2 linked regions of the Danio rerio genome follow. The protein of the gene in region 2 purifies or fractionates together with the protein of the main gene of each other region. This does not show direct contact. Links are inferred from orthologs where the notes say so. Each region holds a gene or a part of one and is shown on either strand. Other genes may lie near its edges.

Evidence for each region.
Region 1: the proteins of akap12b (region 2) and hspa12a purify together in Homo sapiens (affinity purification with mass spectrometry; 3 studies listed by BioGRID and IntAct, with this or other methods). This does not show direct contact. The link is inferred for Danio rerio from reciprocal best matches to the Homo sapiens genes AKAP12 and HSPA12A.

Annotation. Positions count from the first base shown.
Region 1 is NC_133192.1:22,603,152-22,606,980, forward strand, and holds part of hspa12a (heat shock 70 kDa protein 12A), read right to left. Parts: intron 941-3,829; coding exon 309-940; 3' UTR 227-308; exon of another isoform or gene 199-226; 3' UTR 1-198. UniProt on the Homo sapiens protein: Adapter protein for SORL1, but not SORT1. Delays SORL1 internalization and affects SORL1 subcellular localization.
Region 2 is NC_133195.1:29,130,362-29,134,190, forward strand, and holds part of akap12b (A-kinase anchor protein 12b), read right to left. Parts: intron 972-3,829; coding exon 1-971. UniProt on the Homo sapiens protein: Anchoring protein that mediates the subcellular compartmentation of protein kinase A (PKA) and protein kinase C (PKC).

The sequences.
Region 1 (3,829 bases), on a different chromosome or scaffold from region 2:
ATAAAGCAAATTCTGGATCTTTGTCATTGAGGGGTGGGTCTTTTGAACCACCCGAACGCCTCTGGCTACAGGCCTGCTTTAAAAAAAAGTTATTATAAATTATATTTTAAAAAACGATTAGGTTTTTACAGCGTATCCTTGTTGGATAAATGAACTTTTTCCAGAATAAAAATTTTAAAAAGATATATATATATATATATATATATATATATATATATATATATATTCGTTTTGAGGATGATTTAAAGATTTTTGACTGGAAAACATGACTAAATACTGAGTTTGTCTGCAGTGTGTGTTTTCCTCATCTACTGACCAAGGAAATCGATGCTCGCTTTGACAGTGCGAGATGTGGCCACGTCGACAGCCATGGCTCTGATCTCGGTGTCTCCGAACTGCATGAGTGTCTGGATCTCTCTGCGTGCCGCTGGACTCTCAGTACCGCTCACATCCAGCTTCAGCGAGCCGCACTTCCTCACGCCTGGGTCCGTGATGAAAGTGACCGACTCTTTTTCTGAGCAGTACACATGGATGACGATCACCTGCTGCGATGGCTTGGCTGGTGTATAGCTGCGCTTTACCGTTTCGCCCAGTGCCACCGACTGATCGGCAGAGATAAACGTGTCGAAGACGTCGGTGCACCAGCGCATACCGTCCTTCACCAGCATCTTTTCAGGTGGGTGTTTGCCTTCCACAAATCGGTTGAGGACGCCGACGCCGTAGGTGAGTGGAGAGCGGCGCACTTTTATAATGCTTGGATCCAGGCCGAACAACACCGCCCCCTTCAGGATGGTCAGACCCACGTCGTGCGGAATAATGATTCGGCTGCGGCCCTGAAGCATGTTCTGGACCGCCTGCTGCAGCAGTGGAGACTCTGCGAATCCACCCACTAGAAAGAGGAACTTGATGTCTGTCACTTCAGGCCTGTCAAATAACTCAGCTGGAGAATAAACACAGAGACAGAAAAAGAAATTAGATTTTGGCCCTCCTCAAGACAGAAAACCTTTTAATCTTTGGTTATGCCGAGTTCAGTCACAAATGTTTTCACACTGCATGACTAACTGGGCTAGAGTTTTGTCGCTGCTATGTTTACACTGGAAGATGGATCGGCGAAAGGGGCTTTCAAAATGCATGACTTTACAATAGGAAGAATCGCCGACAACTTTGTCCAAACTACGTTTCACATCCAAAAACAAATAGAATATCTTTTGTTATTAACTACATAACAAGAAAGAAGCCTTTAATGGGGTAGAAAATGTACATATTTGCTTACTTGGGTTTGTAGGGAATTAGCCATTTCTCCTCAACTTTCTTTTTTACCTTTCTGCACTAAACGTCAGCCAGACACAGTGCTCCTGTCAAACCTCCACTAGTTTTTCCTCCATTTCTTGGGTCAAAATATAACGAAAATAAGCACTTTTAACTTCTCCCTCAACCTCCCGCTGGCCTGCAGGTAAACACACACTAGTGAATGCTGCTTTCGCGTTGGCTATGGGCGATCACCGATGTTAATTCTAGCCAAAACTTATTTCACACGACATGATTTGAATCGTCGACAGGTTCAGATATTTAGCATGCCAAATATCTCACAGGCATCGGCGACTCATCTGCGATTCTCTCAGATGACGTCTTTGATAGTTCATACTGTGTGATTGTCAAGCACCGATTTGCCTGTGATTTCAGTAGGGCTGTGACGGTAACCGATTTTCTGTTACCGCGGTGATGAAGCAAGAAATCAAGCGTTAACCGTGCATATATATATATATATATATATATATATATATATATATATATATATATATATATATATATATATATGCATGCACTACATAGCAGGGCATTAAGTATTAATCCATTGTAGGTAACCCCAATAAACCTAATCGGGCGTGCTGCGGGCGCACTGTGGTTGGTGCTCGGAGAACGCAGCATCTTTCGCAGCATTTTTCGAAAAAGAGTCAGATTGCGGGGAGAGTCTGAGACAGAGAGCTTTCAAAGAATGTGGCGTTCTTGTTGAAAACCTGTTGTAGTGCTTTTCTTGTTGATCATAAATTGTGAATTTTAAGGTGCTCTTCACATTCTTCTTCTCCCCTCCTTGTTGTGACTGTTAACACACCTATGGTATAAAAAGCTGTGAGCTGAGCGCCGTAGAGGCTAAGTCCCATTTACTTTGAACTGACATTTTCTCCTGTTTTTGGTTTAGTCAAGGAGTAGGCTAAGGGTAGTATTTGTAATATATGTTCTGCATTTCTTTTGGCTCATTAGGTAAGTTATCTTCGAGGTGAAGTTAGCTAATATTTTGTTTATTGATTTGGCCTTACTCAGCCCTGGAGCTATTTTTTTGCGCTCATTTCTTTTTTTTCTTGTAAATACAATATTTTCCTCCTCCTCACAATAAAAGAACCTTTAAGGCCATTTAAATCATAACCTGCCAACTGTTTATTTTTTTTTCTTTAACATTTATGTTCAACCTCAGCCCTAGACATTTGAGGTCGGAACACCGATAAATGAATGTCATAAACAGTCATGATATAGGCTGCTCAATTCATTTTGATGATACAGTTTACATATACATAATTCGAAACTGAATACTTCACTTTTATTTTTTAGCAGGCAATGTTTGTGTTTTGGCCGTGGCATATAGCGGACCTGAAGGCACATTGCTTCATCTTAAAGGTTATTCGTTATTTTTGTTTATTTTGTAGATCACTGACCAACAAAAATTAAGATACAAATTGTACAAAACTGAATTCGTTCCAAAAATATTTTTCTACCGACAAAAATATTTGAACTGTATATTTATGTGCGTCCCCATTCGCTACACAAGTGCAGAGTTTGTTTCGCTTCATGGGAAAAAAAGGATTTAATTAATGCTCTACTGCAGGGCTATTCAATTGGCGGGCCGAACCCGGCCCCCGAGGCTGTTTGTTCCGGCTTTCCAAATGGTGTGACCAAGACATCGAAAATAAATTTAGTAGAGTCGAAAAACGGCCGCTATAGTTATGAAGTGACCTGCGTCTGTTTAATACAGCGCGAGCTGTAGAGGCGCAGAGCGTGAGTCATCATAAGCGAGTGGTGGGGACAGCCGAAAACATTTGGATATGTTTTGTAGGAAATGCCTTTTGTTAAACGCACTGATATTATTAATAGGGATGCAATGATTTGCTGATTTAACTGCGCTTTAATTCTTCACAGTTAATTAATCGTAAAGGCTTCTCTAAGCAGCATTTCTGTTGCACAGAAAAGTTATGACAAGGTGCCAACTGTGCGCTAGTTTAAAGTTCAACAAGTACACTGAGGCTACTACACACGCACACCGGATTAAATATAGCAATCATCAGTCAGTTTTTTAGGAAAAAATCAAAAAGTGATGTAGTACAGAAGGGTAAAAGATGTGAACGTTTTTCAAACAAAAACACACCATAACGCACCCCATGAATGCAATCAATCCTTCAAAATGAGCTGATGGACTACCTTTAACACGTGAGAAGAATGTTACATGGCTTAGAGCAAAATGACTAAAAGCAATTTATAAGCAGTGCTGTTGCTGCTTATAGTTTTAGTCTGAGCAGATCGCAGCTGAGCTCGACCAGCAGAGACAAGAGCAGAGGGACTGAGTTCTGACCCACTTCTTGGTGTGTGTTGAATTATTTTGGGCAGATGGTTGAGGCTCCTCTGACTGGGCCAACATTCATCCTAATTGTGTCTCCCAGCAGCTCATGAGATTATACAGCTTTACAGATCTTACTAAGGGCTGAAAAACACTACATGACTTCTGCCCAGATCGCTGTTTGCCCAGACTTTTGCTGACTGGAGAAGTTGGCACTAGTAT
Region 2 (3,829 bases):
AACAGCTGGAGCTTGAGCAGGTTCAGTATGAGTCACAGTTTCAACTTCACTTGTAGCCTCAGCCTCTACTTTAAGATCTTGTTGCTCTTCTTTCTCAGTGGGAGTAACTTCATTGGTTGTTTCAGCCGTCGTTTCAGTGGTAGTTTCAGCTTTAGTTTCAACAGTTTCAGATGGTTTCTCTATCTGCTCACCCTCAGCTGGTTCATTTTCAGCATCAACTTTAGCTTCTTCTGTAGCCTCGGGAACACCCTCTGCTGTTTCCTCAGTTTCCTTAATGTCCTCCTCCACAGGCTTTTCTTTGACATGTTCCTCATCTTTGGGCTTTTTGAAGCTTGCCTTTTTTCGGAGGTTAGAAAAGATTCCCTGAGTAAAAAATCTCTTAAAGGGACTCTGTGTCTCCTGAGAGGGTGGGCTTGTGGGCGATTCAGCTGGCACTTCTGGCTCTGGTTCTTTCTCTGATATTGTCCCTGTTTCTTCAGCAGGTTTTTCAGTTTCAATATCACTGACCTTTTCTGTCTCTGATGGTGCATCAACTACAGTTTGTTCTGCTGGTTCCTCTGCCTTCTCAGTTACTTCTTCAGCTTTGGCCTCATTTTCTGTGGTTTCTGGTGATTTTTCTTCCACAGACCTGTCCTCCTCTGCTGCAGGTTCCTCTTTCTTTTCCTCAGTGGCTGCATCAGCACCACTCTCTGCTTCCTTCACTGTCAGCAGTTGCACAGGCTCAGTCTTCTCATTCTTGTCTTTCTTCAGTGTGAATTTGAATCCAACGAAACGGAAAATCTTCTTGAAGCCCACTTCATTGGCCTCTTCTTGTTTTTCCTCTACCACCTTCTCTTCAGCAGTTGTAATCTCATCTGCATTTGCAGAATCGTCTCCCTTCTCTCCATTCATTTGAGGGGCAACCTCTTCCTGGTGCACTTCTATTGTTTCAGGGCTGTCTTCTTTTGGGGAGATGGTGTCCGTTTGACCAACTGAAATAAAACAAAAATGAAAGATTTTATTAAATTGCTTGCATAAATTTATTCACTTATACTTATGATACTTAATTGGACATCTAAAAAAAAATGAATCAAGTCGTCACCATTCGAATCATCAAGTTAACAGATTATTAAATAACATAACACTCCAAGTGTTTAAAATCGTCTGTGTGTTTGGTCTCTTGTGGATAGTCAACCCACAAAAAGAATTAGTTTAGAAAAACAGGTTTGTAATTATAATAATAAAAGCAAAATAAATGATCTAGTGAGATGATTAACTCAAGATGGAGGACTGTGTCATTTGAAGGAAATCAGAGCCACATTTCTGGAAAACCTGCAAAAAAAACATTTCCCCCCTTACAGATTTAATCAGGCATATGATGGCAATCTGATATTAAGTTTACATATTCTGGTCTCCTGCCTGTAAATGTTAACCAAAACTATAAAACGGGGGTGATGACAACAGTTAACTTAAAAGCAAACAGGGGAAATTTCCATGTAGTAAGCTTCAGCTATGCAGGATATGTTGCCAAACTTTTTGGACTATGAAACTGACCTGATTTAATAAAACACAGCAAACTCATATCGAAGGGGCTTTTTTTGATAGTATTTTACTAATATTAATCAGCATGTGAGCACAGTATCATCTGAAACTAAATGTAACTAAAAGCACAACAGGTGGATAAACAAAAAACACAAACACACACACACACACATTTATAATGTCTTAAATTCCTCCCTCGTCTATCTGTGTTTTGACAGGAGTGGGTTGGTTTTGAGGGTGTGGGTCTAGGAACAGGGAGTCATGTTCACATATAGTGTGGGCCTCCTAGAGGCCCAGTTTCCCTTTGACATCCAACCTAGCAAGAGACTGCTCACATCTGGCTCTGCTTGCTCTTGCTTTGGGGTCTGAAACCCACCCAGTGACTTTAAAAACAAATTCCAAGCATTTTTAATGCATGGATATAACATTACTTGACATCCTACACAATTGCATGACACAGGCCTAGATAACGCAAACACATTTACCAAACAAACAACTTATGATTTATAAAACGAAAAATTATAAATCATATTAAAATAATCATATTTTTATGTGACTGGTAAAGTCTTACCCCACCCTTAAAAAATTACAATGAAACAACAAAATAGAATAAACTACCAATGCTCCTAATCGTGCCATGGTCACCCAGTGGAGAATGCATTTACAATCTTACATTAGCTTATCCACCTTCAGTAAGTTTAAATTAAGATAGCTCTTCTGTGGTTTTAAAGTATGCTATAAATGTAGAGAGGCGCTAATCTAATACCACAATTCAATGTGATACTGGGGTGCAATGGCATTCCCATCCCCCTACAAAACAACAAGCCATCCCCCCCACAGACCAAACCCAATTCTAAACTTTAGCTTAGGAAGACTGTATTGTGTTGTGCTCTTTGTCTCCAAACGGGCCCCTGGTTTTTCCTGCTTTAGCTAAAAAGGGTGGGGGGCCACACTATTGTCTGTCCTGGAACCTAAACTACCATGATGAAATCCTTGCAGTAAAATGGGAAAGGGGCATTATGGGAAACAATTTAGAATGACAGATAGAAAATCTTGATGATATGGAAGACTGATTACTGGACAAGCTGTAAAACTTTTGGAAAAGTTTGGCGGTATCTTAAGGGGCAATAAAAGTTAGGTAACAATTAGAAAAATGAAACATTAAACTATAACATGATGCTGTTGCCTCACACAGCTGGAGACATGTCTGTGCAGTGTGTGTGTGTGTGTGTGTGTGTGTGTGTGTGTGTGTGTGTGTGTATTTAATTTTACTTGAGTATGAAAGACAAAATGGGTCAGGGACCATGAGTAAGCCATCAGTCGCCCTACATTTGCCTTTGTCTCAGATTGGGGAAACTCAAGCCAAGGAATTTGATAGCGTGTCTGTTGTGGCTGTTAAAGTGTAGAACTGTGGGTGGGTGGGGGCAGATGCCATCTGAAATCACAGTAGTTTGATAGCTGGGCTCTCTAGAAAGCTGGGGGAAGGGTGGATGTTTGTTGAGATGGGTCTGAGGTAATGGTCAACAACCCCCTACCCCTTGCTGTTACATGCAAATGCAGGCTGTTCATTAGTGGAATCTGTGAGTTTAGGGAAGTTGCAGGAAGAATGAGCAGTAGACTGACTGCCGGACCCCCACCAGGCCAACTACCCCACCTCCCACACTAAATAACTATACTTTAGTGACTGCCCCCTTTGACTCTGGTTGAATGAACAATCAAAATTTTGTTTATGATACTATCAATATCTACTTTTAGAATGGATTGTGGTGAATAAAAACCATTAAGATTGCAAAAATCCAATGAACCTGCAATGTGCTGTGTGTATGTATGTATGTATGTATGTATGTATGTATGTATGTATGTATGTATGTATGTATGTACATGTGTATATACAGTTGAAGTCAAAATTATTAGCCCCTCTGAATTATTACACCACTTGTTTATTTTTTCCCAATTTCTGTTTAACAAAGAGAAGATTTTTTTCAACACATTTCTAATTATAATAGTTTTAATAACTAATTTATAATAACTGATTTATTTTATCTTTGCATCGATGACATTAAATAATATTTTACTAGATATTTTCTCTACTATACAGCTTAAAGTGACATTTAAAGGCAGGTTAGGGTAATTATGCAAGGAAATGTAAGACGATGGTTGAAAAAAAATTTGAAAGGGGGCTAATAATTTTGACTTCAACTATATATATATATATATATATATATATATATATATATATATATATATATATATATATATATATATATATATACACACAAACACACACAAAACAATTAAAGCAAATTAA